4 linked regions of the Elephas maximus indicus genome follow. The protein of the gene in region 2 purifies or fractionates together with the protein of the main gene of each other region. This does not show direct contact. Links are inferred from orthologs where the notes say so. Each region holds a gene or a part of one and is shown on either strand. Other genes may lie near its edges. The genes, in order: JUP, CDH2, CTNND1 and CTNNA1.

The links.
Region 1: the proteins of CDH2 (region 2) and JUP purify together in Homo sapiens (co-immunoprecipitation; 4 studies listed by BioGRID and IntAct, with this or other methods). This does not show direct contact. The link is inferred for Elephas maximus indicus from reciprocal best matches to the Homo sapiens genes CDH2 and JUP.
Region 3: the proteins of CDH2 (region 2) and CTNND1 purify together in Homo sapiens (affinity purification with western blotting; 6 studies listed by BioGRID and IntAct, with this or other methods). This does not show direct contact. The link is inferred for Elephas maximus indicus from reciprocal best matches to the Homo sapiens genes CDH2 and CTNND1.
Region 4: the proteins of CDH2 (region 2) and CTNNA1 purify together in Homo sapiens (affinity purification with mass spectrometry; 4 studies listed by BioGRID and IntAct, with this or other methods). This does not show direct contact. The link is inferred for Elephas maximus indicus from reciprocal best matches to the Homo sapiens genes CDH2 and CTNNA1.

The regions. Positions count from the first base shown.
Region 1 is NC_064837.1:48,807,121-48,815,116, forward strand, and holds the start of JUP (junction plakoglobin), read right to left. Parts: upstream 3,016-7,996; 5' UTR 2,875-3,015; intron 2,696-2,874; exon of another isoform or gene 2,497-2,695; intron 1,520-2,496; exon of another isoform or gene 1,448-1,519; intron 1-1,447. UniProt on the Homo sapiens protein: Common junctional plaque protein. The membrane-associated plaques are architectural elements in an important strategic position to influence the arrangement and function of both the cytoskeleton and the cells within the tissue.
Region 2 is NC_064829.1:35,179,919-35,187,620, forward strand, and holds the start of CDH2 (cadherin-2), read right to left. Parts: upstream 3,016-7,702; 5' UTR 2,926-3,015; coding exon 2,866-2,925; intron 1-2,865. UniProt on the Homo sapiens protein: Calcium-dependent cell adhesion protein; preferentially mediates homotypic cell-cell adhesion by dimerization with a CDH2 chain from another cell. Cadherins may thus contribute to the sorting of heterogeneous cell types.
Region 3 is NC_064825.1:119,135,310-119,142,953, reverse strand, and holds the start of CTNND1 (catenin delta-1), read right to left. Parts: upstream 3,009-7,644; 5' UTR 2,762-3,008; intron 1-2,761. UniProt on the Homo sapiens protein: Key regulator of cell-cell adhesion that associates with and regulates the cell adhesion properties of both C-, E- and N-cadherins, being critical for their surface stability.
Region 4 is NC_064820.1:151,825,922-151,833,649, forward strand, and holds the start of CTNNA1 (catenin alpha-1), read left to right. Parts: upstream 1-4,712; 5' UTR 4,713-4,818; intron 4,819-7,728. UniProt on the Homo sapiens protein: Associates with the cytoplasmic domain of a variety of cadherins. The association of catenins to cadherins produces a complex which is linked to the actin filament network, and which seems to be of primary importance for cadherins cell-adhesion properties.

The sequences.
Region 1 (7,996 bases), on a different chromosome or scaffold from region 2:
TGCTGAAACCTGTTCAACATCATAGCAACACACAAGCCTCCACTGACAGATGGGGAGTGGCTGTGCATGAGAAGCACTGGCCAGGACAAGAACCCTGGTTTCCCACATGAAAGGCAAGAATCCTACCACTCATCCACCACTGCCCTCACTTACTGGGTCCGTAGTTATTATTGTCCCATTTTACCCAGGAGGTCACTGAGGCTCAGAGAGATGAAGTGATTGACCAAAGCCACATAGGTACTGAGTGACAAAGGTGGCATTCAAACCCAGCTCAGTCCAACCCAAATCCCTGTGCCCAGAGTTGCCCCGCTATAATGCCACTCCAAAAAACAGCCCTTCTGTACACTAGTCAGTTGTCCCAGCTCATTCCAAGTGGGATCCTCTCCCTAGTCCCTCCCAGGCCCTGTAGAGGCATCCCCTCTCCCCACACCTGTACTCCCCTCCAGGGGTCTCCAGGAAGAAAAACAGGCTCCAGGGCCCAGCCTGACCTTCATTCCTACATGCTGCTTTCTCAAAGCTTCAGTCCTGGCAGCCCTACCAGAGGTTCCAGGGGGGATGGGGTGGGGCTGGGGTGCGGGGTGGAGGTGGGGCTGGAGAGGGCTCAGGTCACCCAAGCTGGGGCTTGATCTAGCAAGAAATGACTAATCTGATCCTACCTTATTTATTCCTCTTCCCTCCTCTATTATCCCCCTCCCCTCCTCTATTATCCCCCTCCCCTCCAGTAAGCAGCCGGTTTTCATGAGGCGCCTCTCAGCGATGCTTCCTCAGTATTAACTTTTTATCACAGCCACAAACCAGATTAGCTAAACTAATTATTTAGCCTCGGTAGTTACAACACCTTCCCCTTCTCCACCTTGGCACTGAGAGGAGGGTAAACAACTTATTTGGGCCCAAACTCCATGCCCCTGTGGCTCCCCAGAGGTGCAGACCCCACGAACAGAGAAGTCCTGGGGTTACCTCTCCAGCCTCCTGCTCAGCCCAGGGCACCCTACCTACCAGGGCATCCCATGGTGGGGGCAGCTGGGTTCCCAGGTCTGACTCCCCTCCTTCCCTAACTCTCCCATCCATAGCCATGAAAGAAGGGGTCCCCAGTGAGTCAGGGCAAGCCAAGTGATGTTCCCGCCACCCACCCCTGCTCCCCAGGACGGAGGGACAGCCTGGCTCTTCTGTTCCCTCTGTGTCCCCCAGGGAAGCTGGGCTCCAAATTCCTCCAAAAAAGACCACACCTTAGATTTTTGAAAAGATATTGTTGAAAGCCTGGTAGAGATCTTTAACTTGGGCCAGAGGAGAGGGGCTCTCAGGAAATGAGGGGGGCAGGGAGGGCCTAGTGAAGCTCTGCAGCTCTACCTAAGCGAAGCCTTCCTCGTAGCCCACTTTACCCATCAAAATCTCTCAGGAAAGGGAGGTGGTGGGGAAAGGACTGCACAAGCTTCCACAAAGAGTGCACCTTCATAATTCAGAAGTCAAATGGAAAGCAAGCCTCCCAGCTCCAAGGTCTTCGGCCTCAATTACCAGCCAGCTAAACAGCGTGGGCGTTGGGGTATAGAAAGAAAATGAGAACAGTCACTCCCCCCACCCCGTCAGTTTGGCCCAGTCCCACCGCACCCCCATTCCTAAGTGGTGGTGGGGGAAGCAGAGCTTGGGAGGGAGGGCTACTAGCCCAGGCCTCCTCATCGGAGGGGGTGTGGTGGTCCCCCAGGAGGCAGGAAAAGAAGGAAGAAGCTGCTTCCCCTCTGGCCCACACCCCCCATCGGCCCCCACCTCAGGCCCCAGGGGCCCAGCAAACAGGATGGGGGGCTGGGCAGGGAGGACAGGCTGGGCCAGCCTGGGGCCAGCTGGGGAAAGGGGCTTTCTGCCCCACAAGAAGGTCCCTCTAAGTCTGGGGGACACTCTGGTCAAAGAGGCAGGAAAGCCCCCAGAGAAATCTTCCTTCTGGAATACTTCCTCCTGGAAAGTTTGCTTTGGGTGATTTTTCCAAAAATAAGAGGTTAGAGAGGAAGAGTAGCCCTGTTCCCATATGAACACTCTGGGAGCCAAAGCTATTGGAAACTGGGCCAGGTGACCCCTCCGCCCTGAAACCTCTACCCACGCAGAGACCCGCTCCGCCAAGATCCTGATCGAGCAACGGGGGGCAGAAACCAGCTGGGCACTGAGCAGGGCCCTGCATCAGCCTCATTGTTGCCCCATCCCACCTCCGCTGGGGGATCCACAGCCCGGCACCCACCCGAGCGAAGGGAGGCGCCCCAGGTACACTGCCGACCAGGCTCGCAGAGAGGGAGGGTTGGGCCTCTGGCCTCGGTGCGCTCACCTGCTCGGCAGGTGGGGGCCGCGTCTCTGTGAAACTGTGCGCTTGGCCCCCACAGTTGGGCAAGCCGGTCGCAGACAATAGGGCCCCACCCAGGCCTGGGGGAGTAGGGAGGGAGGGAAAGCGAGGATGACGCGTGGGGTGGGGTAGGGGTGGCCCCAAAGAGTCCAGCGGCAGCAAGTTTCCCAAACCGTAAATTCCTGACAGCTGAGTGCGCCCTGGGACGCAGGCGGAACAGGTCAAAGTCTTCCCCAAAAGCTCAGGGCGAGAGTCAGGGGCCGGGCGTCGGGCGGGCTTCTCCGACCCGAGGAAGACACGACTCTGGAAGCACCTGCCCTGATCCCTCCCGGACCTTCTTTGATCTCCAGATCCCGAAACCCCCAACAGCGCCGGGCCGGAATCTCGCGCTCCGTTAGTCTCCACGCCCAGGACCCCAGCGCGCCCCCTGCCGCCGGTGCAGGGTGGCGCCCCCTACACCCGCCCTCACCTGCCCCGAGACTGCTGGGACCTTCTGGCCCCTCGCCGCCCCTTCCCTCGCCCCAGCGATCCCTGCCCCTGATCGTCCGCACCTGCGTGTGAGCCTAGCCGGGCCGGGTCTGGGTCGGGCCGGGGTCGGGGCCGGCGCGGGCAGCGAACTGAGGTCGGCGCGCTCGGGCGGCGGCTGCACCGGACTCTGGCCAAGGCAGCAACTCAGTAACCGAACAAAAGGCGAAGGGACCTGACAGCCAAGCCACGCCTCTCGCCCCCTCGAAGCTCCGCCCCCTAGAGAGACTCCCACCAGCTGAAGCAAGCTCACTGGTTAATTCGCATGACTGTCCCATCAACGGGCGGAGCCTCGCTCTCAGGCCCCCACCACGGCCGCCTCTGTTTATCGACTTGCCATTGGCCCCAGGGACTGCCAGTCGCCTCTGGGGACGGACTCCAACTTGAGATGCCATCCTAGCTCCGCACCTATTGGCTGAAAGGGGCTTACTTCTTCTTGTTTGGGCAAGGGACTGTCAGTAAGAATAAGGAAAGAACCAATGGGAGGGATGGGGTGTGTCTTGCCCCACCCTGGCTCTGAGCAGGTAAGACTCATGACTCTCCCTTCCCCCTACCTGTCCAACAGGTGAGTCACAGGGCGCCATGGGAAGGGACAGACGTCTTCACTGGCCTGCTAACTCAGCGTCAGGCATGAAGCTTCTTTGGGCTTATTCATCTTTGCCCCAAAGTAGTAAAAACATACTTTTATAGCATTTCATACAGCATTTTGCTGGGCTGGAATTTTTTTTTCCCCCTAAAGATGAAATGAATGCTCATGGAATTTAGAGTTAGTACGCCTGGGTTTGAGTTCTGCCACTTAGTGACTATATGATCTTAGACAAGTTACTTCACCTTTCGCCTGTTTCTCCTCATCTGTAAAGTGGGTACATTAATTATAACTATCTCATTAGGGTGTGTGGGGAATAAATAAAGTAAGGTTTGTGAAAGGACTTGGATAACTGCTAAATGTTAGAATTTAAATTCATGTTACGGGTTTTTTAATTCTCACAATTCTGGAAAATTGCTAGGACAACAAAACTATCCTCATTTTAAAGAGGAGAAAACTGAGGTCCAGAAAGGACACAAAATTAGAAAGTGGCACATCCTAAAGCTAGAACTGTTCTAATTACAAGGCCCACCAAATCACAGGTTCACCTGGTGGAATAAAATATCAAAGCAATGAAGAAAGGGTGGGAAGAGACAAAAACAACACTTGGAGAGACATTGAAGAGCGATTTTTTGAAACAAAGATGAAGTATTGGTGTGTGTTAGATATCTAGTGCTGCTACAACAGAAATACCACAGATGGATGAGTTTGACAAAGAGAAATTTATTCTTTCACAGTCTAGGAGGCTAGAAGTACAAATTCAGGGTGCCAGCTCCAGGGAAAGGCCTTCTCTCTCTGTCCTTGTCATCAATCTTCCCCTGGCCTAAGAGCTTCTTAATGCAGGAACCCCAGGTCCAGAGGACACACTCCCCTCCGGGTTCATCATTCTTGGTGGTAGGAGGTCCCTGCTTGATTTCCTCTTACATCTCAAAAGAAATTGACTCAAGATACAACCTAATCCTGTAGATTGTGTCCTGCCTCATTAACATAGCTTCCTCTAATCCTGCCTCATTAACAACACACCCTAAAATCAAACCAAACCTGTTGCCCTCGAGTTAATTCCAACTCCTAGCGACCCTATAGAACAGAGTAGAACTGCCCCATAGCATTTCCAAGGAGCAACTGGTGGATTTGAACTGCTGATCGAGCTCTTAACCACTATGCCACCAGGGCTTCATTAATATCATAGAGGTTAGGATTTACAACACACAGAATCACATCAGATGACAAAATGGTGGACGATCACACAATACTGGGAATCATGGCCTTGCAAAGTTGACACACATTTTGGGGGGCCACAATTCAATCCGTAACGTGGTGTAAGGAGACTTTGGTGAGTTTGGAAGAAATAAGGCAGCAGATCTAAAGAAAATCTATCACTGGCATAGAAGGCGTGGGCATTGAGCCCCTCACTGGTGGAAGAGCCTGGGTTCTTCGGATAGAACTTCCTGATAGGCAGGTTAAGACCAGGGTCCAGTATTTTATTTTTGTGGTCGATAAAATGAATGCCCGCTGGTAGCTGCACAGTATGTCAAGGATCCTACAGACACTCATTCATTCAGCTTGTGTGTGTGTGTGTGTGTGTGTGTGCATTGTGGTGGGGGGAGGGAAGGGAGAGTGGTTGCTCAGGAAAGGAATCCCGCCCCCCAAAAAACTATAGCTCCAAAGCTAGCACACACAGGATAGGGCCGGGTGAATGTACCCCAGCAGCATCTTTGACCACTTTCCCCACCAGCGAGGGAATTATGGCTAACATTCTCCCTTCTGAAGCTCGTGCCATCCAAGAAGTCTTCCTGGAGGGGGCCAGGGAGACGTCAACATTCCTGAACACATGCCAGGGCCACTGCCCTTTGCCTGGCTTTCTGTACCACCCCGCCCCCCTTCCAGCCGGTCTCAGCATTGTTATCCCTACCTTACCCCCACCCACCCACTTGCTTTCCATCCTGCCACACAGTGCAGTGGCCAGCCCAAGGCTTGGGAGGAAAAGAGCTCAGAGGAAAAGAGCTCAGAATCCTAAGCTGTCACCACTGTGGAAGGATGTCACTTCCTCTCCCTCCCACCTCTCCTGCCCACCCTCCCACCCCTGCACACGTGCGTGTGCGTGCGTGCGTGCGCGCTCACACACACAGTTCCCAAACCCAAGCCTAGCTTAACTCCCTCTTCTTTCTCCTGACTTCAGCATATAAGTGGGGTAGGGCTGGCTGACTATAGAGGGGTGGAGGAGCTTGGGTGGAGTGGAAGGGCAGAAATAAGGCTTCAGGATAAAGTGTGTGTGTGTGTGTGTGTGCGTGTGCGCACCACTGGTGCTCGTGTGTGTCTTCCCAGCAATGTTCCCTGCATGTCTCACCCTGGAACATGCTGCAACACGCTGGCCTCAAAGTTAAGCACACAGACTGGGGCTGGGTGGAAGCACCCACAAGAGCAGCAGGGAAGACTGGGATAAGAGCTGTACCCCCACCCAGATCAGGAAATGTTCTGCACATTTATCAAGCACCTACAATGTGCTTGCCAGACACTGAGGACACAGCAAGTTGTATTGACTAAAATCAGCTGTCTGTATAGGGGTTTTGGTCTCATGGGGGAGGAGATGTGCAGGTAGACAGAAGGGGGTCACTGTGACCACAGTCTCTTCAGGAAGACTGACTGAAGTGAAGGAAAGGCCCCATGGCCATCATATCCACTTCCCTGCCTCCACGGTTTTAAAGGCAGGGATTTCTGTTTTTGACAAATCTCTGGCAAAAGAAGTTCTCCATTCTCCCTTAGTTTTAAATGCCTTTGTCTCCTTATTCGAACAGAGAGAAGTTCCTTCTAACGTCTAGCCTATTTCCTATTCCTGCAGTTTAAACTCATGTCTCTTGCTCGAAGCTCCAGAACTACCAAAAACACATGGTTAACTCAACCTTGCAGCTTTTTGGGGCCTCAGAGTAAAGAATGAAAAGGCACCAAGGTGGCCTATCCCAAGCTGTCCCAGAGACAGAAGTAAATGGCCAAAGGGGTCCAAAGAGGGGCTTTCGGGAGGGAGTGGAACTGGTAGGGGAGGGGGAAGGCGCTTCTCTTGGAGAAGGTGTACAACTGCCAACGTCCGGACAGCCAGGCCACCCCTCCTCAGCTTATCTCATTTCCCCTCACCGTCCAGGAGGCCTCTGGGCCATATAAGGAGGTGGAAGAATGTCTGTTCTCTGTCCAGACACAGCCCTTTCCCTGCAGGGCCCCTTCCCCAGACAGAGGCAGATAGAGATTTAGATCCCACACCCACACACCCACACAGTCCTCCACGCTCAAACCTCAGGGACACACTCATGGACACACACGGATACAGACTCAGATATAGGAACACCAGACACCTCGGTTTTCCCTTCCCACCACACACACACACACACACAAACACACACACACACACACACACACACACACACCCTTCTCCTCTCCTCTTCAGCCTAAGGTGGCCTAAGGGGTGGCCACCTCTATAGAGGGAGGGCAAGGGTGAACAGTGTCAAACTTCAGGCTGATCTAGTGCCAGTAGCCATGGGGTCGACTCTGCCTCATGGCTACCCCACGTATGTCACAGAAGGGCTGTGCTGCATAGGATTTTCAATGGCTGATTTTTCCGAAGTAGATCGTCAGGCCTTTCTGCCGAGGTGCATCTGGGTGAACTGGAACTGCCAGCCTTTCAGTTAGCAGCGGAGTACGTTAAGCATGTGTGTCACCATCACCCAGGGACTCCTCAGGCCGATAGCGGTACTTTTTAATCACACTGGCGCCTCTCCCCTGGCTTTTCAGCAGAAGAAAAGGAGAGCAGACAATTGGAAGTTCTTCCTGGGTTGCAGACATTGCATCAAAGGCAATACAAAAACCTAGAGGCATCTCTCTGCCCAGGGGGAAAGAGGGCTCCTGTCCTGGTCCTGCCTTCAGAAGGCCCCCACTCTGGTCCTGCTGGGGTTGTGCCCCTCCACACAGGGCAAAGGGACAAGCATACAGAGTTCACACCTCTCCCTTCGGGACCACGCCCTGGTACCCAAAACTCAGAATCCTTTGCCCAGCACTGACTTGGCTTTCAGGGCCTGTGGGCCCCTTATTCTGGCTGTTCCTCTGAGAAGGACAGTCGCATCATAGCTGGTATGCGTACACTTAAGCCAGAGAGGTGACAAGGGCTGCAGTTATTCTGGGGCCAGGGAGCAGGACATGCGAGCTGGGCTATCTGCACCCATTATATGTGCTGGAGGCCCTTCCTGTTGTGGGTAGAGCCAGGGGTGGGACAGGAAGGGGAGATGGTCCTGGGGCTCAGGGCTGGGGGCCAGGGAGCAGTTCTCCTGGGGGTTGCCACTTGCGGAGGAGTGTCAGAATTCTAAATTCCACCCTGACCTTTTAGGCCATTGTGGGAGTATACTCATCAAGATAAACCCTATTTAACGTAGTTTTTGCTTAAATGTTTAGACCGGTGGTATGTGGGCCTCCACTTCCATCTTGCCCCTGCCCCTGCCCCCGACCCCGTGTTAAGGGTGGGATGACTCAGGGTGACCCCTTCAGGGCCGGAGGAGAGGACAGGGATGCAGAAGCACCTC
Region 2 (7,702 bases):
CAATGACAATATAAAGCCCTTTCTTAATATTCAACCACTCTTTTTAACTGTTCAGGAAAAACAGGATTGCTCTGTATCTACACTAATAACCTACACATTCTCTCTCCTAAACTGTTAGCTGGCTTAGCATGGTCTGAAACAAGCACAGTTTTAGCAGCAGAGGACTGACTGCAGAGAGGCCACTTTCACCTTGCGGATAGATCTCTGCTGTTCTGGTGAGCAAAGCAGACTGTTAGCACAAAGGCATTTCTAATCTCCGTCCTACAATCCACATGGAGCTCTTGACCCTAAAACTCATGTTGCATAAACTGCGCTGCTTCCACTCTTGATGACCTTCCAAATCACTCAATGTTACTGCCTGGCTTCAACTAGAGAATGAGAAGACTGTCAAATAACTTGATGACAAAGTTTTAATTTCTTTTTTCACAAAGGTTTATAAACGGCAAAAATCAGCATAGAAGAAACCAAGAAAGCACACGTAATTGAAAGATAAGCACATTATTTGACTTTTACAGACGGCAATATGAAAAATGCAAAGAAAAAATAAGAAATGACATATGAAATTCACGACTGACTTCAAGGCAGATGACTAAGGGTGGAGATAAGACTGCTCCAATCATAACATAATTAGGCTGTCCCACAGGTATGAACGACCAACTGATGTCTCCTCCTGTCCTAACTCCTTTGCATAGTGTTTAATTAAAACTCATTTGCAGATTCAAAAGATAGTGAAAATAACTACCTATGGCTTAGATTCACATGCTGAAGATTTACTACGTGGTTTGTTAATAAGTAAAATCACTCAATGACGTCCAAAAATATTGTTTTTAAAAATAAGATTTTTTGATCTATAGTATTTCCTTGGCGACAAAAAAAGGGGGGGGGGAGAGGAGAAAGAAAAGAAAACTCTGGTATGCACAGAATTCATAAGTTCGTCTTAACTTCAAACACTTAAAAAAGTAGCACTTTTTCCTTCTCTCCCCCCAGCTTAACCTCTTTAATAAACCCCATTTTTTTAGAGAATAATAAATGAAGTGACAGGAGGTGAAAGAATGAGGAGTGTGCGCTCCAAGAATAAAGGGCGATTTTATAACAGGAGGTACTTTTGTTAGCAAGTGACTGGCAGGTCTCCTCCTCCAAGTTAGAAGAAATTCCATCCACTCCCCAAAACTGCAGAGGCCAAAAGTGTCTCGTTTAATAGTTTCGAAATCCCAGAGTCAGGAAAGAGCCTAGGAAGGTCTGGCGAGTGGGGGAAGGGGAAGGAGAAATATCAATAGGCGAGGAAAGAACAAAAGGAGACCCAAGAAAAGAGAAAGAAAAGTCAGGACCAGGCGGCCAAGGAGCCAGTGGCTGAGAGCGAACCGGAAAGTGAGACAGCGCGACCTGAAGGAGAGTGCAGAGCAGGGCGGACAGGGCAGGGCCGGGCGCGCCGCACCACCGCGCACCATGGACAGGGCTCGGCGCGGCCGCGGTCCACACCCCTCTAGAGGGCGGTGGGAGAAAGCGCGAGAGACCGCGGGCGCCGGCCCAGCCCGCCGCCGGCGCCCACAGCCACCACTCCCCCAGTGGCCGGAGCGCGCCTCCTGACCCGTGAAGACTACAGAGGGAGCGAGCCGCACCATCTGTTCTCGCCCGAGCTGCCCCCGGCGCCAGGGCACTGCTGAACCGTGCCCGCACTTTTCAGGGCTCCCACCGGCTGGCCTCTCCCACCCACTGCTCGTTTGCATTTACCCAGGGGCCGTGGCCCCAGGCGAAGGCGGACACGCCCCTCTCCCGCAGCCTCTGACCCGCACAGGCGGGGGCAAATTCCAGGTCCCGGTATGGCACCCGCCCAGCGCGAGGGTCTCGGCTGATGTTGTGCGGCACAGCCTCCCGGGGCCCCGCTGGCGGGCCGGGAGGGGCCTCACGGCATCCTCGGGCCGGTCGCCACGGGAAAGTTGGGCGGCCAGCCGGGCTGGAGACCGGAGGCGCGGAGACAGGAGGGAGCCCGCGACCCGCCTGAAGCAGGTGCTTCCTTCCGCGGAAGGGAGCCTAGCAATGATAAAATGGAACGGCTGGGAGGGCTCTCCCAAGGGTGTGAAAAGTGCTGAAAGCGCCCGGCGAAGGCGCCTTTGGGCCGCAAGCGGGTCAGTGCGAGCCTGGGGAAGGGAGAGGAATAATACTCGAGTAACGGAACTTCTCCCCGCCCGTGGGGATAAAGGCGTGCGGAGCTAGGGGCTGGTGCGAGACGCCGACAGACAGGGACCCACGCAGGGACCTCTCCGGACAAGGGGGCGAGGTTTTCTTTCCAGGTGGGATTGACACAGAACATTGTTTGGAGGAGAGAACAAGAAAAGGAAGCAACTCTGGGTTGGGATAAAGACAATAGGACAGTGGAGCCCTTGGGCGCCGGGAGGCGCGCGCTGCTAGGGTGGGGTGGGGTGGAGGCAAGACCCATAACTAAGACACCAGAGTGAGAATTTCAACTGCAAACTCGAGACCCGTTTCTGCAGAAATTAAAAAAAAAAAAAAAAGCAAAGTGTGATGCAGGGAGTAAGAAGCACAGAAAACTGCAAAACCTGGGAAATATTCCGCCTCACCCTTCTGCAACCCCCCGCGAGCTCCTCCAGCCCCAAGGAGGCACAGAGGATGCCCCGCGATCGGCCCCCTTGGGCCCCGTCAGGAGAAGCGCGGAGGACCTGCTGGCCCCTCCAGTCCTGCCCCTGTGCCCCGGCGGAGGCTCGTTCCTGCGCAACTCCGGGCCGCGAGGTGCGGCACCTCCCTTCCCGAGTGCGCAGCCGGCCCCGCAGCGGCGCGGGGAACAAAGGGACCCGGCGCCTCCCGCCCCACCCCGCCCGTGGCCCGGTCCGCGGGGCCGCAGCGTACCTGGAGCAGGGCCGCCAACAGCGGCAGCAGGGCCCGCGGCGCTCTCACTATCCGGCACATGGAGGCGGAGAGGGGCCGAGCGAGAAGCCGGAGGCGGCGGCGGCGGAGGCAGCGGCAGCACCAACAGCGGCGCGGAGACGGCTCCAGGCAGTTTCCACCCCTTCCCTTCCCCTCCCACCCCACCCCCTTCGCCGCTGCTCTCCTCTCCCCGCCAATGGAGAGAGAGCTGGTGACAAATAGCGGGCCGCGAAGTCCGCGGCACTCGCACCAAGAGTAATAAAACAGACCGAGAGATCAAGGAGCTGGGGAGGGGGCGGGGGAGAAGGCGGGCGTGCGTGCGTGTGGGGGAGTGTGTGTGTATCTGTGAGGGTGGTGGCAGCACCGGCGACTCAGCTCTGGCCCGGAGCGCGGCGGAAGCCGCGAGGGATGCTGGCTGCGGGGACCTTGGCCCGTGTAATATGCGGAGGTGGTAGTGGAGCGGATGGCGCTCCCTAAGAGCTCCGCCGCGAGGTTTCGAGGTCGTGGTTGTGCTTCCTCCGGGTCCCCTTTCCAGGGCCGCTGGGCGCGACGAAGACACCGGGAAGAGCGCCGCGGGCCGTGCGCGCTGCGCTTACAAAGAGCAGCAGTCCCGCAACCGGGCGCCGCAGCTGCCTGGCGATGAGAGCCGCTTCTCGGCTCCTCTTTCCCGTCGCCCGGCGAGTTGAAGACTGTTCTCTGGCCTTGACCGCGCGGGGATGAGCCGACGGGCTGGCGCGGCCCCTACCGCCGCGGCTCCGTCCCGCGCAGCTGCTGCCGCGGCCGCCCCTGCTGTTCGCGCTCCGGCTCCCGCCCGCCGGCCCTCGCCCTGCGCAGCTCTCTTGCGCGCGCCGCCCTCGCCGCCGCCGCCGCCGCCGCGCACTCCCGCTCGGCCTCCAAGAGCGCGACCAGGGCGAGCTGCAGCTGCTGCTCTATCCGCGCTCGCCGCACGCGCTGCCCGGCTGCGCGGCCGGGTCCCGGCTCTCTTCCCCTCCCGCCGCCGCCGCCGCCGCCGCCGCGCCGCCCTCGCCCCCGCCTCCCTCCTCCGCCGAGTCTCCCCCGCCCGCGTGGTGGCCAATCGGAGGCCAGCGAGCTGCGGCGGTTGCCGGCCGGATCCAAGGCAGCCGCCCGCCCCCGCGCCGCCGGAGCGCCCCGTTTTTGCTGCAGCCCGCGGGGGGTCGCCGGAGGGAACCTGGAGTACTCGGAGCACCGCCCCGGCAGGTGGAGGGACTGCGGGAAATAAAATAACTTGCGCAGAAACTTGATCGGTGGCTGATTCGCTATCTTTAGACCGCGGTGGGGAATCTGATGGATATTAGGAATGGGGGTTCTTCCTTGGCAGCCTAACGCCCGCTTCTCTGTTTTGTTATTTTTTTGTTTGTTTGTTTTTGGAGATAGGTTATTTTTCGTATTGGGGCAGCCACAGCAAGCTAGGGACGCAGGCAAAGCCCACCTTAGCCATTGTTGTCAGAGGCACTTGCCCGGAGCCACCTGCGGGCCGAGGAGCGCAGAGGCCGTGGCTTCTTTTGGACATGGCGCCTCTCCAGCTCCCACCCTCGCGGATGTACTGGAGTAGCCCAAGTTTTTCTGTTCCTGTTTTGTCACCTCTGGGAGTTTGCAGGCGCATGTTATTGTATAAGAAATGATCCGTTTATGTTTCTACCCCTTTAGAGGTATGGTGCACTTTTTTTTTTTTTTTTTTGCAGTTTTAGGAACTTTAACTCCCTCCCTGCACCTCTTCCAACAAAGAAGAAAAAAAATCCAAAAGCCAGAACCTGAAATACACGCGGTAAAAATAGGATTATCTAAAAGATAAGATGACTGATACCGAATTCACACTAAATAACGGATCGGGGTGGAATATTAAAAGTGAGAGACTATTTGGGTCACAAGCATTTGTCTAATGGGGGAGTGGAGTGGAAAGGGGCAGTTGATTTTGGCGAGATTTTTTTTTTTTCTAGGAACCATTATTATTATTATTTTTTAAGGTCTTACAGGTAAATAAAAATATCCTTTTATCTCAACGTTGCAACACTTTGGAGGTCGTTGAACTTCCTTGTAGTTAATAAACATTTTTGCCTTTAGTGTTTCCTGTTCTGCGTTGGCTAACTGACATATTCACGTTCTTTGAATTTAGATCAGTGAAGTATTCACTTTGAGTTTCAGAACACTGATTATTTAAAACCACATGATGATGAACCTCTAAAAATCAAGTATTAATATCTTGGACATAACTGATGCAACTTTTAATAATGTATTATTCCTGGCTATGCTTTTAAATATGTAATATTCATAGAGAAGTTAACTTTTAATTAAAACAACATTGTAAGTCATTTTTCTAAGAAACATTTTTTCTTGGATTTTCTTCCCCCCTAGTATAAGGAAGGTTATGTTAATTAAATTAAAAAAGATGAAAGGCTTGTCTAATACAGTAAGAAGTGCTTGTTCTTTCTCTTTGCTAGGTATTTTTATTATTGTCATGCTATATTGCTAATCTACCTAAAAGTTATCTTTGCAATACAGTATTTATAAATTCCATTTTTAGGGAGTCATACATAATAGTGAAACATTCAGTAGCAATACAGGGTTATCTTTTGTTGTGGGGTTCCAAGATGGGATTTGTAGATTTCAGCTCCATCCCTAGAAGTTAAGCTGTGATCCTGGACACCTGGTCTTAGCTAAATCCTTACCACTCTCAGCAGTAGCCATCAGTGTTTATTGCCATTCTGATTAATTTAAAGCTGGAAGAAACCAGCATAAATAACTCTATTGCTTGGTAGTATTATCTGCTTGAAGCTTTAAACATCATGTCCCCTATGAACTAAACTCTTATTATGGTCTCAAATTCTGTATTGGAAAGCTGATCAGTCAACTAATTCTCTGATTCTTACAGTGCTTGATCACACAGGTTAGCACTTGCAGCTTTTTTTTTTTTTTTTTATCTAACTTGCATGCCTCTTACTCTTCAAAGGTTATGAATTGTTTTGGAATCTTGCCTGATGTGGTCAGCCAAATCTTGCTAATTGCTCTTTGATCATGAGAAGGAATAGCCTAGTCTAAAATTATGTTATTGGAGATTTTGTGTATCCATTTGCTGTTAAGAAGAGGAGATCTATGGTTGACTATGGCATCTAACACAGTTTACTCTGATAGTACCATACTTAAGATTTAGTGGGGCTGTTCGTTTCTCAGATTTTTAGCAGCTGCTCAAAGGATTGCCAACCTGAAGACTAGCTTGCCATCAGCCTGTAGGGCTCAGGGGCTGCCAGGGGCTTGTCATTGACCCAGAGAGATAGCCAGGTGGTTTTAATACCAATAAAATTAATGAAAACTAAGGCTGGGCTCACATACATAAAATCCACCTAGTCCCTTGATTTCTGACCTGTGAAGCTGCCGATTTACTGGAAGAAATCTGTAAATGTATATGTGTACCAAAAAATGTGGCCAGACTGAATAAATATTTTCTGGATATATGCCATCTTTTGTATGTATAAAGATGCTAAAAAAAAAAAGCCATTGTCATCGAGTTGATTCTGACTCATAGCAACCAACCCTATAGGACAGAGTAGAACTGCCCCATAGGGTTTCTGAGGAGTGCCTGGTGGATTCGAACTGCCAACCTTTTAGTTAACCACTGAGCTCTTAAGCGCTGAGCCACCAGGGCTTCATATAGATGCTAAATTTGAAACATTCATTTCAAAATAAAATCATAATAACTATTTGTCATACTGTGTTTTCTCAAACAGGAGATACTAAAAGTACAAATACATCGTGTGGAGATTTGTGTAAAAGGGTCTTCAATTTTAAAACAAATTCCACGAAGTAAGAGTCTAGCCTGCAATACCCTGGTCCACCCCTGGCCACATTACTCTCAAGGCAGAAACTTCACAGTTGTTTATCTCTGGCATCTAGCATTGTCCCTTCCCTCTTATGAAGTACATCTAAAGTTGTTTTTCTTCCCAATTATCTTTGATGTACATTAGAGCTGACCTTCCTTGAGTAATATCCCTCTCATAACCAGTAACCAGTTGCCTCCTAGTTAATGCTGACTCCTGGCGCCCCATGTGTGTCAGAGTAAAAATTTTCCTCCACAGGGTTTTCAACGGCTGGTGTTTTTGGAAGTAGATCACTAGGCCTTTCTTCCAAGGCATCCCTGAGTGGACTTGAACCTCCAGCCTTTGGGTTTGCAGCCAAGCCAATTAAGCGTTAGCACCACCCAAGAACTTACCTTTCTTAGAATCATGGGATGTCTAAATGAAACTTAAAGATGCTTTCTGCAGTCATCTCATTTTACAGACAGGGAAAGAGAGGCTTAAAAAGTTAGACAAAGCTACCAGCTGCCAAGCAGGGGGCCCAGCATGGGACCCAGTCTCTCATCCTCCCACTCTTACCTAGGTTCTTTAGATAAAATGATTCTGGGGAGTCCTTTTTAACTTTAGAAAATTCAACTCTATGGGTTGGGAGAAAGGTAAAAATAAGAGTATTTAAATGGAACTAGAGATGTATCCATTGTTCTCAGGTATTTTGTTCTCTGAAATATTGCAGAGATAGGAGACATAACTCTGCTTGTCTTTCCACTCGTCTCAGTTCTCATGTGCCTTTCTTAGTGTGATCATCTGGCCTTATTTAGTGTGTTTCTGACATTTAAAGATCCATGTCTTTGATACAATCTGGCCGCTAAGTGCAAGCCAGCCGTTCATCTGGTACTTAACCAGAGAAGCAGTGATCTGTTCCAATACTAGAAGAGAAACCTACCTTTCTTTAATTAACTCTTGTTTGGAGATATTTTCTCATGGAAAATATAGCCAAGTATGTAACTCGA
Region 3 (7,644 bases), on a different chromosome or scaffold from region 2:
TAAGGAAAACAGATCTTTTACATACATTACCCCAACCTGGAAGACTAGCAAAGACTAGCAAGGGCTCATTTTAGTTCTGGCTGTTTTTCTCTAGAGAATGGCAATGTATTAGTGGTTAAGTCCATGGACTTTGTAAAGATTTTCAACAAACGTCAAGTTTCTCTGAGGCTCAGTTTTCTTAAAAAACGGATGTTGTAGGGAATTAATAGTACATGTAAAATGCTAGCCATAGTTCTTCAAAAAAAAAAAAAAAAGGTGGGTAGGTTAGTAACGGGATCATCAGGTACCAAAATAGAAGGCAATAAATTATACGGAGGTAATCATTTTGTTATTCCAACTGATAGTGATCTATGTTTAATTTATCTGTATCCATCCTATCTCACCACCCCTAGAGAGCAAATACCTCATATACCTAAGGCTGGATTGAAATTGCTTGGAGTTTTGTTTGTTTTTTTAATAGGTCTCCCATAGTCCCAATTTTGTGCTAGCTGAGAGATCATGTTCTCGTCTGACTCTCCATAAATGGAACCCTAAGAAAGAAACTAGAACTCTCACCTCCCAGAAGGCACCCATCCCACCTGGAACACATGTAACAAAGGAACCAACAGTCTATAGGAGTCAAACGAGGAAAGGACAATCTGCATAACTCATATTTGTCTTCATTCTTACCCCAAAAGCAAAACGAGGAGCAAAACAAAACAAACGCATGTGTGTGTGTGTGTATATATATATATATATACATGTAAAAGATTTACTTATCCCCACCCCATACTATATTTCCCGAAAGAACTAATGGAAGTGAGGTAAAAGATAAATATTCCCTCTTATCACCCAAAAGGCTCTATACTACACACCAGTCAAAGCAAAGCCTTCAGTTGGTAGAAACGGTTCTGGATGCTTGTTATCTAGGATACTCCATACAAAGCCCAGTATTTAAAGCCAGACCCAAATCACCACCACTCAGTCATCCAGAACCTATTTTCAAATTGCCTTTGTACTCCTTCAGATTCCCTCATCCCTCCCCCTAAAGGCTGAGTGGGAAACCGACACTCTGGCAGCAACATGACCAACCTTCCAAAGACCAACAAGAAACCTCCCTAGGCTGGTGTCAAGGCAAATAGAACACTGGAAAGAAAATTTAGAAAATATTAAACAAGAACTCCAGCCCAACAGATTGTACACGTTGTCTTTTTTTTTTTAACTGCACTTGGTACAATTATGAGATCGAGGCATTAAACCTTTGCTATAGTCCTTGTGTAGATTGTATCAAAAAGAGGAACAAAGTTCTGTTTCCTCTGAAACCACAACGTTAGAAGGATGAGTCATCTTTCAAGAAATACCCTCATTCTATTAAAAAGAAATCCAAGGAAGTGTTCTAGAATTGGGAAGCAGGGGGTAGAATCAGGGAATTATTAAAGATACATGCCAGCTTAAAGCTAATGAGCAGTCTACACATTAAGGCCCATCTTGTTACCATTAGAGCAGTATCTATTCCAGCTGTAATTTTCAGACTGATTAGCATTTTCAGAGACAGAAGGAAGAGAACGTCCCACTTTTCAGCTCTTCATGAGCTACCTATATAACTCTCTAGAACCAGTATTTTTGTAAGAATATATTTGCAAAAACAAAACAAATCCTAAGATTAAGTATAAGAAAGCAGACATGGGCCTTCAGCTCTTACACATTTCTGATTTCATGGTAAATTAACCAGACAAAAAACTCACCTCCAAAAAACAACTTTCTGTTTGGTTTAAAAACAAATTCTCCTTGGGCTTTCTCAAATGCATTTTAAACACTAAAGTTTGTTTAAGTGGTTTCTCTTAATCTAACCTTATTTAATCCGTTGCCCTCTCAGAGAGCACAAAGCTGAAAATACTTTCAGGTGTGTTGTTACTTTACTCAGGTGAACTAAAAGGCATGATTAGAATTTCCTTATCCCTTTAAGCACATATACCAAACGTTTATCGTATTTGCAGATTTAACATACAACACCTCCACAAATCTCTGCCATCAAAGGAGTTGTAGGAGGAAGGCGGGGATGGCAATTCAGTTAACATGGAACCATTTGTTTTCTTTTATAAGGCAAAACAGGGAGGCTCCGTCTAGCAGGAGTAAGGCTCCCACCCACCGCACCTGGAAAAGTAAAAGGCGGATCCACCCAGGAACAGCAGGGCAGAAACCGATCTGGGCCGTTCAAACTCTCCGGGGAGAAAACACCACCATTTACACTGCAAAGCTCCCTGCAACTTTCCACTTCCACAAATTCAACGATAAAAGAACAAAAAAAGAAGTTCTGAAACATATGAAGAACCATCTGTAAAACTAGCTCCCAACCCGGACAAATTCCTTTCCCAACCCACACGCAACATGCCAAAAAACCAATTTTTGGTTTGGGCTCTGAGCACAGAACTATGTTAGCTAAATCCAGAAAAAAAAAAATACAAAATCAAAGAACACACAAAAATGTAAATTTACAGAACTGCTCTTACCCCTCTGGATCTAGAGTCTCCTTGTATTAGAGAGACCTAGAAGTTTGTTTCCAGGTCTTGCATATTTTGCCTTTTTTTAATATTACTAAAATACTAAAATCTCCCAAAGTACTGAAGGTAGAAAGAAAAAGATAATTGCTTAAAAGTCACCCCTCAGCATAGCAGACTCGCTCTCGTTTTTAAATTCCCTCTGGTTACCATAAAACAAAAATTCGACTGGTTTACCCTCCGTTCCCCTTCTGTAACACATTTTTGTTTTAAAAGGCACACACCTCAAACGTGGACTTCTATAAACCAATCCTTTTAGAAAGAAACCCAAGGCTTCGCCAATGTGCTGAGAAAGACAAATCCAGGAAGGCAGTTGATTTTTCGCCACCTCTTCCTCCTTTCAGGATCTTTCCTGCTCTTCTTTCTCTCTCTCCCTCTCTCTCTTTTTTTTTCTCTCAGATCCAACACCTAAAATGGAAGTTGCACCCAGCCAAAGGCAAGGGAGCCTGGGTGGTGACAAACTGATCTGGCAGCCCTACCCCCTCGCTTTCCTAAGTGATGTCAGCCCCTGAGAACTTCCAATAGGAGCCAGGCATAAATCAGGGAGCTGACCTTATCCAATAGGAAACTTTATTATAGGAAATTAAAAAAAGAGAGAGAGGAGGAGAGAAAGAGACAGGGGGAAGTTATACATATATATATATTTAAAGCAGAGACTATACAATCTCCGAGGAATTACTGCAGAGCTTCGGGGGGGCGGGGGGCGAGGGAACAAGGGCTTCTAAGAATGGCACATCCAAGCCAGTTATCTTTGATGGTTGGGTTCTTGCTCCCTCTCCCTTCCTTTCCAGGTGGGGAAACAGAAAAGAGCTGATTTTATTTGCCTGCTGGTGTTTCATTTGTTGCTTTCTACCTCAAAGGAAGACCGGAAGGGAAGGAGAGACAAATCCTCACAACAGGACTACTGTGTGCCAATGGGATGGGGAGGGGATATCTGGGAGGTAAACTCTCAATTTCAATGTTTTGGTTTAATTGCATTAGAGCTAATTAGAAAAAAATAAATGCTTGGGCTTGTTAACAGTGTTTAGTCTCTACAGTTTCAACTAGAAGGGCGCTGAATCCACTGGGCTGCTAAGTAATATCACTGTGTTCCCATTTGACCCCAAATCAAAATAATGTGGGTTTGAGAGGAAAAGTAAACGGAATCCAATACTGAGCAATATATTTAGAGGGAATACAGCATGTATAAGGAAGACCAAGTCTCACGTGAAGAAAATTCTATTTCAGTGTGAACTCCAAGCTCAAGATGATGTTCATACATTGTCTTTTGACACTTGACCTGAATAAAGGACTATAGGGGTATTCCTCTTCTGAGTTAAGAGATATTCTTAATATGTCCTTAGACTGTAAGACCATGAAGGGCAAGGGCTGAATTTTTTTTTAAATATGGTTGACAAAGATTAGTATTTTACCATCATTCAGTGACTAATGATGAATTAAGATTTCCTTTTTCTTTCTTACTGAAGAATCTCAAACTCTGCCCTGTAGACTGCAGCCAAATTAATCTTTTTCATAAAGTTTTCACAATCTATAATAGTGGTTAAGAGCATAGGTTCTGCAGGTAGACCACCTAGCTTCAAGGTCTATCTCTGTAAGTACACGTATTTACTCGACTAAGTGTACTGCTATGTGACCTTGGACGTGTTAGATAATCTCTCTGAGCCTCAGTTTCCTTAACTATAAAATGGGGATAATAACTGTATATCTCTCACAGGATTACTGTGAGAGTTAAAGTTCTTAAACAATGTATGGCATATAGTATAAACTCATTAAGAATGAGTTATTATTACTACCCTGTCCAAAAACTTTCAATGGCTTACCATTGCCCAATAATAGCAACCAATGATTGACAGTCTATCATGTAAGAGGCACTTTGCACTCATTGTCTCGAATGTCTAAAACAGCACAATGGAGATAGTATTACCTCCATTTTATAGATAAGAAATCAAGGCTTAGCAAGGTTAAGCAACTTGCCTGAGCTCATGTGGTGAAGAAGTGAACCCCTCATCAATCTGACTCCAAAGCTGTGCTCTTTCCATCACCTTACACTGTCCTAAGGATAAAGGCCAAATTCCTCATCTGCTTTCATGGTATCACATTTATTCTTTCAATACATTAAAGTAACACTATTAACTATGATCTGACCTTTCCTTATCGGTCTAAACAGGAATTCCACTCCCCCTCAGCATGACTGTGCCCTTCTAATCAAGCTGATGTAGTCATTAGCTAACTCCCCCCCCCCCATATTTGGTATAGATTCTCATAAACCAAAAACCCACTGCTGTCAAGTTGATTGCAACTCGTAGTGCCCCACAAGGTTTCCAAGGGGCAATTGGTGGATTCAAACCATTGACCTTTTGGTTAGCTCTTAACCACTGTGCCATTACGGCTCCTTAGAGTCCTACAGACCCTCATATTTGGCCTGTAGTGGCCCAAAACGATTTCTTTCAGAAGTGTTGGAAGATCAACCACGCATCACAGCACTTGTTTGACGAGCTTTAAACAAAGAATAGTAGGAAATGAGTACATTATAACAAAGAATAAATAGTCCTTAACACATAATCTAAGAATCTTCTCTCATATCTTCTACCTCTAAACCAAAAAAAGAAACACATCCACTGTCTTCAAGTCAATTGCAACTCATAGCAACCCTAGAGGACAGAGTAGAACTGCCCCACAGGGTTTTCAAGGCTGTAAATCTTTACAGAAGCAGACTGCCACATTTTTCTCCTGAGGAGCGGCTAGTGGGTTCAAACTGCCAACCTTCTGGTTAGCAGCTGAGTGCTTTAACCACTGCGCCACACGGGCCCCACTTCTACCTCTACTCTCCATCTATTCCTGGTTCTCTATAAACCAAAACCTGTTGCCATTGGGTCGATTCTGACTCACAGTGACCCTATAGGACAGAGTAGAACTGCCCCATACAGTTTCCAAGGAGCACCTGGTGGATTCAAGCTGCTGACCTTTTGGTTAGCAGCCACAGCACTTAACACTACACCACCAGGGTTTCCTGGTCCTCTATAGCAAGTTCCAAAGCCAAAGATGATAATCAAAGGAAACAATCAGAAAGAGAAATGTTTGTTTATTCATTGGTTCCTAGATGACAGCCATATTTTATACAGAATTTTCTAGAGCTTGATTAAAAAAAAAAAACCCAAACCCACTACCATTAATTCTGACTCACAGCGACCCTATACCCACTCCACTGCAGTTGAGTTGATTCCGACTCATAGTGACCCCACAGGACACAGTAGAACTGCCCCATAGAGTATCCAAGGAGCGCCTGGTAGATTTGAACTGCTGACCTCTTGGTTAGCAGCCATAGCACTTAACCACTATGCGACCAGGGTTTCCCAGTGACCCTATAGGACAGAGTAAAACTGCTCCACAGGGTTTCCAAGGAGCAGCTGGTGGATTTGAACTGCTGACCTTTTGGTTAGTAGCCCAGCTCACTGTCGAGACGGATTAGTCTTGTTTACTTCTTACACATGTCATTACTCAAAACTTTCAAGTATTTTGTCTTTTTTTTCCATGTTTTTATGTGTGTGTGAATGCATGAGTATGTTTTCTTGTCTCTCCCCCAAAAGATGAGTCCATAAAGACACGGCCACTGTCCTTCTTGTTCATGGTATATCCCTAGAGCTCAGCCTTATATCTCATATTTAGCAGTAGCTGAATGAGTGAATGAACTCTCTTTTGCTTACTAGTTGTATAATTCTGGACAAGTCATTTAGTATTAATAAATTTGTACATAACATTCAAAATGAAATGATACACAAATCAAAAAAAGATAATTAAATGGTAAAATTTAAATTTATTTGAAACAGCCATCTTCAAATAAAGCATCACGAGTATTAATACTCACTGACTGAGGGAAAAATTATTTACACTCAGTTAATAGGAAATAAAAAGACTAGTTCCACTTGGGTTATTTTGAGCAGCTACTTTGAGTCAGGTACTCTTCTAGATGTGGAGAATGATAAGATAGGCAAGTTTCCTGCTCTCTTAAATCTTACCTTCTGGGGTGGGGGGTGCTGTGAAGAGAAGATTAATAAGTAAGATAATGTCGAATGGAATGCTATGCAGAAATTTAAAACAGATTGATGAGAATCTGTTGGGAATGTGAATGACTTGGGGCTTACTCTAGATTGGCTGTCAGAGACAAACTCTGAAAGGGTGACATTTAGGTTGAAATTTGAGTGATAAATACAGGTCAACCACTAGAAGAAAAATATGAGCAGTAAGCAGAGGTAACTGCTAATGACAAATCCCTGCAGTGTGGGGCTGAAACATACTAGGCCAGGCAGAGCATGTTGGAAATGAGGACGGGGGAGAAGTGGGATCAGAATATGAAGCAGCGAAAACAAGAGAGACCCTTAACGAGATGGATTGACATAGTGGTTTCCACAATGGGCTCAAGCATAACAAAGATTGTGAGGATGGCATTGGACTGAGCGGTGTTTCGTTCAGCTGTACATAGGGTCACTATGAGTCGAAACTGACTCCACGGCACCTAACAACAACAACATGGGTCAGAGGGGAAGCCCTGGTGGTACAATGGTTAAGTGCTCGGCCACTAACAAAAAGGATGGCAATTCAAACCCACCAGCCCCTCCTCCAGAGAAAGATGTGGCAGTCTGGTTCCATACATATTACAGCCTTGGAAACCCTATGTGACAGTTCCACTCTGTCCTATAGGGTCACTGTGAGTTGGAATCAATTCCACTGCAATGGGCTACAACAGGCTATGATCCAACTCACATTTTGAAAAGATTTGGCTGCTTATATAACAAGTTAAAGAGGGTCAAAAGTGAAAGTAAGTCAGCTAGTTCAAAGGCTGTTGCAGTGGTCAAGTTACAGAGATAGGGAAGTAGATGAAGGTGGTAGCAGTCAAAACAGAGGGAAGACAATGGGTTTGAGGATATGTTTTAGAGACACAGGGTTGTTTTTTGTTTGTGGAATTTTTTTTTCTTTCTTTCTTTTTGCATGCTTTGCTTTGCATTGCTTTGCTTTGTTTTTAAAGCATGAAATATTACATTCAGTGCTTGGTTTTACAACCCTCAAAGTTTAACTTCCCCACCTACCACCATCACCACATACACACACA
Region 4 (7,728 bases), on a different chromosome or scaffold from region 2:
TGTGACCTGTGCAGTAGCATAGGGTTCTGTGCTTACAAAGGCCCCGTGCGTGCTTGGCCTTGTAAAGGTTTGCCTCTCCTGAAGTGGTTCTCTGCCTACCTCATGGTCCTATTGCCCTTTGTCAGTATCTTTTAACTACTGCAAACCATAGTGCTTTGAATTACAGTGGGCACTTTTACTCATATTAGGTCACTGGGCACTTCCTAGGGGAAAGGAGTTGTACTAAGTGCCGTAGGGGATACAGCTCCTATCTTCCAGGAGTTTGCATTCTCTAGGGGAAAGGAGTTGTGAATAGTAGATGCTGAAGGCAGGATAAGCTTTAGCTTATCCATCAGCACAGAGCCAGCAGTGGATATTGTTGTCTTGGATTATTTTGGATTTATAGGCCAATACTGAAATCAACCCGGTTCATCATTCCATGACTCATGAGAAACATCATTGGGGTTTTCCATCTCAGGCTCATAGTAAGTATATAGTATGTTTTGTTTTGTGTTTTTTTTTTTTTTAAAGGAGTATTCACCATAAAGGATAGGAATAAAATTTTCTAAGTTTGCCACAGGTTTGTCATACTGTGGGGGGCTTGCATGTTGGTGTGATACTGGAAGCTATGCCGTGGGTATTCAAATACCAGCAGGGTCACCCATGGTGGACAGGTTTCAGCTGGGCTTTCAGACTAAAATAGACTAGGAAGAAGAACCTGGCAGTCCACTTCTGAAAAAAATTAGCCAGTGAATACCCAACAGCAGAACACCCTCTGATATAGCGCTAGAAGATGAGCCCCTCAGGGAAGGAGGCACTCAAAAGACAACTGGGGAAGAGTAGCCTCTTCAAAGTAGAGTCAATGATAGTGAGTGGATGGAGTCAAACTTTTGGGACCTTCATTTGCTGATGTGGCATGACTCAAAATGAGAAGAAACAGCTTCAAAAATCCATTAATAATAGGAACATGGAATATACAAAGTATGAATCTAGGAAAATTGGAGATCATCAAAAATGAAATGGAATGCATAAACATTGATATCTTAGGCATTAGTGAGCTGAAATGGACTTGTATAGGCATTTTGAATCATATAATCATACGGTCTACTATGCCAGGAAAGACAAATTGAAGAACGGCATTGTGTTCATCATCAAAAAAAGCATTTCAAGATCTATCCTAAAGTACAACACTATCAGTGATAGAATAATATACATATGCCTACAAGGAAAACCAATTAATATGACTAACCCAAAAAACCCACTGCTGTCAAGTCTATTCCAACTCATAGCAACCGTATAGGACAGAGTAGAACTGCCTAATAGAGTTTCCAAGGAACACCTGGCAGATTCGAACTGCCAACCTCTTGGTTAGCAGCGATAGCACTTAACCACTACACCACCAGGGTTTCATAATAATATGACTATTATTCAAATTTATCCACCAACCACTAAGGTCAAAGATGAAGAAATTGAAGACTTTTACCAGCTTCTGCAGTCTAAAATTGATCAACACACAATCAAGATGCATTGATAATTACTGGCAATTGGAACGTGCAAGTTGGAAACAAAGAAGGCTCAGTAGTTGGAAAGTATGGCCCTGGTGATAGAAACAATGCTGGAGATAGCATGATACAATTTTGCAAGACCAACAACCTCTTCATTGCAAATACCTTTTCTCAACAACATAAATAGCAACTATATATGTGGACCTCACCAGATGGAATACACAGGAATCAAATTGACTACATCTGTGGAAAGAGACGATGGTAAAGCTCAATATCATCAGCCAGAACAAGGCTAGGGGCCGACTGTGGAAAACATCAAGTTCACACTGAAGTTGAAGAAAATTAGAAAAAGTTCATTAGAGCCAAAATAAGACCTTGAGTACATCCCACTTGAATTTAGAGACCATCTCAAGAATAGATTTGACGCATTGAACACTACTGACTGAAGACCGGATGAGTTCTGGAATGACATCAAGGACATCATACATGAAAGAAGCAAGAGGTCATTAAAAAGGAAAGAACAAAATGGATGTCAGAAGAGACTCTGAAAGTTCCTCTTGAACATAGAGTAAAAACCCACTGCTGTTGTAGCTAAAGCAAAAGGAAGAAATGATGAAGTCAAAAATCTGAACAGAAGATTTCAAAGGGCTGCTCAAAAAGACAATTATAATGAAATGTGCCAAGACCTAGAGATACAAAACCAAAAGAAGAACATGCTGGGCGTTTCTCAAGCTGAAAAAAACTGAAGAAGAAATTCAAGCCTCAAGTTGCAATATTGAAGGATTCTATGGGGAAACTACTAAATGACACACGAAGCATAAAAAGAAGATAAAAGGAATACACAGTCATGTACCAAAAAGAATTGGTTGACATTCAACCATTTCAATAGGTAGCATATGATCAAGAACCAATGGTACTGAAGGAAGAGGCCCAAGCTGCATTGAAAAAAGCATTGAAAGCACTGGCGAAAAACAAAGCTCCAGGAATTGATGGAATACTAATTGAGGTGTTTCAACAAATGGATGCGGTGCTGAAAGTGTTCACCCGTCTCTGTCAAGAAATTTGGAAGACAGCTACCTGGCCAACCGACTGGAAGAGAACCATATTTGTACCCATTCCAAAAAAGGTGATCCCACAGGATGTGGAAATTATCATATAATACTAGTAATATCACGCACAGGTAAAATGTCACTGAAGATCATTCAAAAGTGACTGCAGTAGTACATCGACAGGGAACTACCAGAAAGTCAAGCTGGATTTAGAACAGGATGTGGAACCAGGGATATCCCTGCTGATGACAGATGGATGCTGGGTGAAAGAGAATACCAGAAAGTTGCTTACCTGTGTTTCATTGACTATGCAAAGGCATTCGACTGTGTGGATCATAACAAATTATGGATAACATTGTGAAAAATGGGAATTCTAGAACACTTAATTGTGCTCATAAGGAACCTGTACTTAGACCAAGAGGCAGTCGTTTGAACAGAACCAGGGGATACTGTGTGGTTTAAAGTCAAGAAAGGTGTGCGTCAGGGTTGTGTCTTTTCACCATATTTATTCAGTCTGTGCTAGCAAATAATCTGAGAAGCTGGACTATATGAGGGAGAAAAGGGCATCAAGATTGGAGGAAGACTAACAACCTTCCATATGCATATGCACAACCTTGTTTGATGAAAGAGGACTTGAAGCACTTATTGATGAAGATCAAAGACCAGAGCCTTCAATATGGATTACACCTGAACTTACAGAAAACAAAAATTCTAACTACTGGACCAATAAGCAACATCGTGACAAATAGAGAAAAAAATTGAAGTTGTCAAGCATTTCATTTTACTTGGATCCATAATCAACACCAATGGGAGCACCAGTGAAGAAATCAAAAGACACATTGCATTGGGAAAATCTGCAGCAAAAGATCTCTTTAAAGTGTTAAAAAGCAAAGATGTCACTTTAAGGACTAAAGTGCACCTAACCCAAGCCATGGTGGTTTCAATTGCCTCATATGCATATGAAAGCTGGACTATGAGTGAAGAAGACTGAAGAAGAATTGATGCCTTTGAATTACAGTGTTGGTGAAGAATACTGAATATACCATGGACTGCCAAAAGAATGAACAAATCTGTCTTTGAAGAAGTACAGCCATAATGATCATTAGAAGCAAGGATGGCGAAACTTTTTTTTCACATACTTTGGCCATTTTATCAGGAGGGTATCAGTTCCTGGAGAAGGACCCCATGCTTGGTAGAGTATAAGGGTGAGCAAAAAAGAGGAAGTTGCTCAACGAGATGTATTGACACAGTGGCTGCAACAATGGGCTCAAGCGTAACAACGACTGTGAGGATGGCGAAGGACTGGGCCGTGTTTTGTTCTGTTGTACATAAACTCGCTATGAGTCCGAACGGACTTGAAGGCACCCAATAACAACAAGTGCCTTGAGGGATAAGGATAGAAGCCAGGACCCTAAAGTGTGTGTGTGCGTTTGCGTGAGAGGGGGGCATCCTGGGGGGGGGGACGCTGCTATAAAAAAATTTCGCGACCAGGAGGAGGGATCCCGGTTTCCCCAACTGTTGAGAGGATGGATTAGGTGATTTCTAGGGCGATTTCACCTCACAACCTAAGAGATCCCCAGTGTTTGATTGTAGTTCCACTCTGCCTTAAGCTGTGGGACCTTTATTTAGCCTCAGTTTCTCCTTAAGTAAAACTAGGGGACGAACCTAGTACACTTTCCTGGGAACGTCTGACTCGGGGACACCTGTGCCACTTTTCGAGGAGCGTGCCCAGGACCTCACGTTGCCGCGCCCAGTGCCTGGGGCACCGGCCAGGGGCTGGGCTTGCGCGAAACCGTGCCCCGAGACTCACCTGTGCGCAACGCGGTGACTCACCTGCCCTCCCCCACCCTCCCCCGCGGGGCTGTTCTAGGAGTCGCCGCTCCTCCTTCCTCTCGGAGGTCATTCCAGGCCTGAGCGCCCACTACAAGCCTGGAATGAAGTGACTGGGGTGGGGAGCTGAGAGGAAGAAGTCCTGAGGGGGTCCGGGCCGAGCCCTGCCAGAGGGCCTCTTCGCGTCGAGGCTCCCCCATAAAGCGGGGGCCAGACGGAGCCGGGAAAAGCGGGCGGGGCGGCGGCTGCGGCGGGAGGCGCCGGGAAGAGCGCGCCAGAGGGAGGCTCCGGGAAGGGCGGGCGGGGCCGGGGCCGCGGGGCGGGGGGCGGGGGGCGGGAAGGGGCGGGGGCGCCGGGCGGCCCATTTCCTCCTCCGAGCCCGACGGGAGGGAGACAAAGCGGCGGCTGTCGGCCTCGGTGCTCCGGTCCTCCCGCGCTCGCCCCGCTCGCCGCAGGTAACTCTTCGCGCGAGCTCCCCAGCCGGGCCCGGGCGTCCTCGGGCCCTCCCGAGCGGGCGCCGCCTGGAATTGGGCTCGCGGCGGGCGGGGGTCCAGCCTCCGGCCGGCGGCCGTTTCCCGTGCGGGCCCCCGGCCGGGCCCTGGCTGGCTGGGCGGGCGGGGCCCGCCTCCCTGGCGCTGGAGGAGCTGAGGGGCCGCGGCGGCTGGAGAGGCGGAAGCCACGCGCAGCCGCTGCGCTTCCTCGCGGAAAAGTTTCTCCGGGTTTCTAAACTTCGTTAAAGTGGGCTGGGTGCGCGCGCCGGCCCCGCGCTGGGCCGCCTCGGCCGTTTTCGTGAAGAATCTGCGCGTTGTTCCAGTGATTGTGTGTGTTTGGTGAATTGATTTTTCCGGTGATGTGATTGTTCTCTGGTTTTGTGGTTTCTGTTGCCTCAGCTCCCGTCACGGGCCGCTGAAACTTCACTGTCTGCTGAACCGGGCTTTTGCTGAGCCCGCGCGCGCACCCGCATTCCGGGCCCCGAGCGAATGTGAAAGTTAGTTCTCCCTCTCCCTGCCTTAGCCGTGTTGGTAAGGTGCGCCACACCCGTGTGGACTTTCGGCGTGTACCATGTTAACCTTTCTTGTGAAATTACTGACTTCCTGTGTGGTAAATTGGACGTGCCCTTGTTTTCAAGAGTGACGTTACAGCGTCTTTTTTTTTGTTGACTTTGAATATATCGTGTGTGTGAAAGAGAGACAATAGCACTTGTTGGAAAAAATGTTGACTGAATGCCTAACCTTGGATTGGCAGCCATGGCTTCCTAATAATGCAGGCAGCACTTGGCCCAAGGCCAGGATGGACACCCTTGTGTCCTCCTGCGTTTTCGTAATATTTTTGTATTTGTTTTGTAGAGGATTTACAACAACTTAGAAAAGACGGTATGATGCATAGCCCTCAACTAAATAAAGAGCATTTCATAATTTTGTTGAAGGAAATGATTACATCATTATTTTTTGACAGGATAGATGTTTTGGTGAGAGGATATTTTGTGCTTAGCAGTGATTTTTAAAAAACTGTACAGGTGTGTGTTGCTTTAAGAAGATATAAACTTGTAAGTCAAATTTATTAGGATTTGTTGTTTTACAAGAGGAATGAGTGGGGTACCTATCTATAGCTGCTGCCCAATTACTTACCCTTCTTGACTATTGTTAAGTTACAGATAATTTTTTATCCACCTAATTAAGGGTTCACAAATGAGTAAGATATGGTCTGTACCCTTCAGGGTTCACAGTGTAATAGGGGAGGAACCCCCCCCGCCCCGCCCCACAGGGCAGACTTAGATAAGTGCCATAACAGTACTGTTTAAAAGCTTTTGTATGGGTCGGATATACAACAAATATACAAAGAAACTTTGTGGAGGCATAGGGGGAGGGGTAGTTTTCTTTGGAGAAGCTGGGAAAGGCTTCCAGGAGGTGGTGGCTTTTTAACTGGCCTTTGAAACATGAGTAGGGTTTTGTCAGGTGAAAGGAGGAAGTCTTGAGAAGCTTAAAAGGACATAGGATTTCCACGGCAGCGGGTTTGGTTTTGGTTTGGTGGTACAACTCTTCCTGGTTTTGGTTATATGTTTGGCTACTGCTTCTTACTCTTTTTTTTTTTTTTTTTAAAATGTACTCATACACAGGATTTTATCCAGTGTTATTTTGATTCTTTTCTACCTCTACACCATTGATGCAGTATTCACCCTCACTCCTATCAGTAACATCTCATTCCATACAGTGACTTAGAGGTGAGGGATGCCCCCATCCCAAGTGGATAGTCTTCCTGCCATCAACCTTATGTGCTGAAGCCCAAGTCTCTATTGGAGTGCAGATGTCTCTCCTGACCCCCAGAGTCATCCGTGCACTGGATTGCTCCTGGGGTGTCTCAGGGGCTTCTCAAATTCAACATGTCTAAAATGGGGCTCCTCATTCTCTTAATTCTGCTCCATAAACCAGATGTGGAGGTTGTTGTGTGCGACTGTCAAGTCAGTTCTGACTCAGCAATCCTGCACACTGTGCAGAGTAGAACTGCCCAATAGGGTTTCTTAGGCAGAAATCTTTATGGGAGCAGGTTGCCAGGTCTTTTCTCCCTCTGAGCCACTGGTGGGCTCAAACTGCCAACCTTTTGGTTAGCAGTAGAGTGCTTAATGGTTGTGCCATTGGGAATTTCTTTGAGAAAGTGACATTGGTTTGAGGCATGAGGGATAGCCCTGGTTGTGGGGGTTTGTATGTATTCTGATGAAGAGCTGAATGGAGGGAACAGGGCACTCTGCATGTTTAAAAGTCCTGAGACAGGAAAGAACTCCACGTGTTTAGGGACCTCAGAGAAGACCTGTGTAGATTAAATACTCTTAGGTGGAGAGAAGCCTCACATGAGGTTGCCAGGGAGGGCAGGGGCCACGTCGCTCAGGGCTATGTTTGGACTGTATTCTAAGAGCTATAAGAAGCCATTGTAGGGAGTTTAATCATCTGATAACATTTTAAAGAAGATCTCTCTTGCTAGCGTTTGGAGAAGGCTTATACAAGTGGAAATAGGCAGTTAAGCTAGAAAGATGTAGGGGTGAAGGTGGTAGGGATGAAGGGAGTTGTGTTTTGGAGAAATAAGACAGGACTTGAATGTGCATTGGATGTGGGGGTCTAGGTTTCTCGATAAATGTTGTTTCTTCCTTCTTGTACTCTATTACTGTGTTTACTGGTGTATTCTTAGTTATAGCTCTAGATTCAGCTGAGTGTTACCGCTTTCATTTTTGGTAGCAAGCCTCTTTGTGCAGGGTGGTGTGCTACATTGTACTGTGACTTATTCTTGATGTCCCTGCTGGAAAGTGAAGCTCCTTGAAGGCAGGGACTGGTAGCTTTAGCCCTTGGCAGTTACTGGACATGGAGGGCAAATAA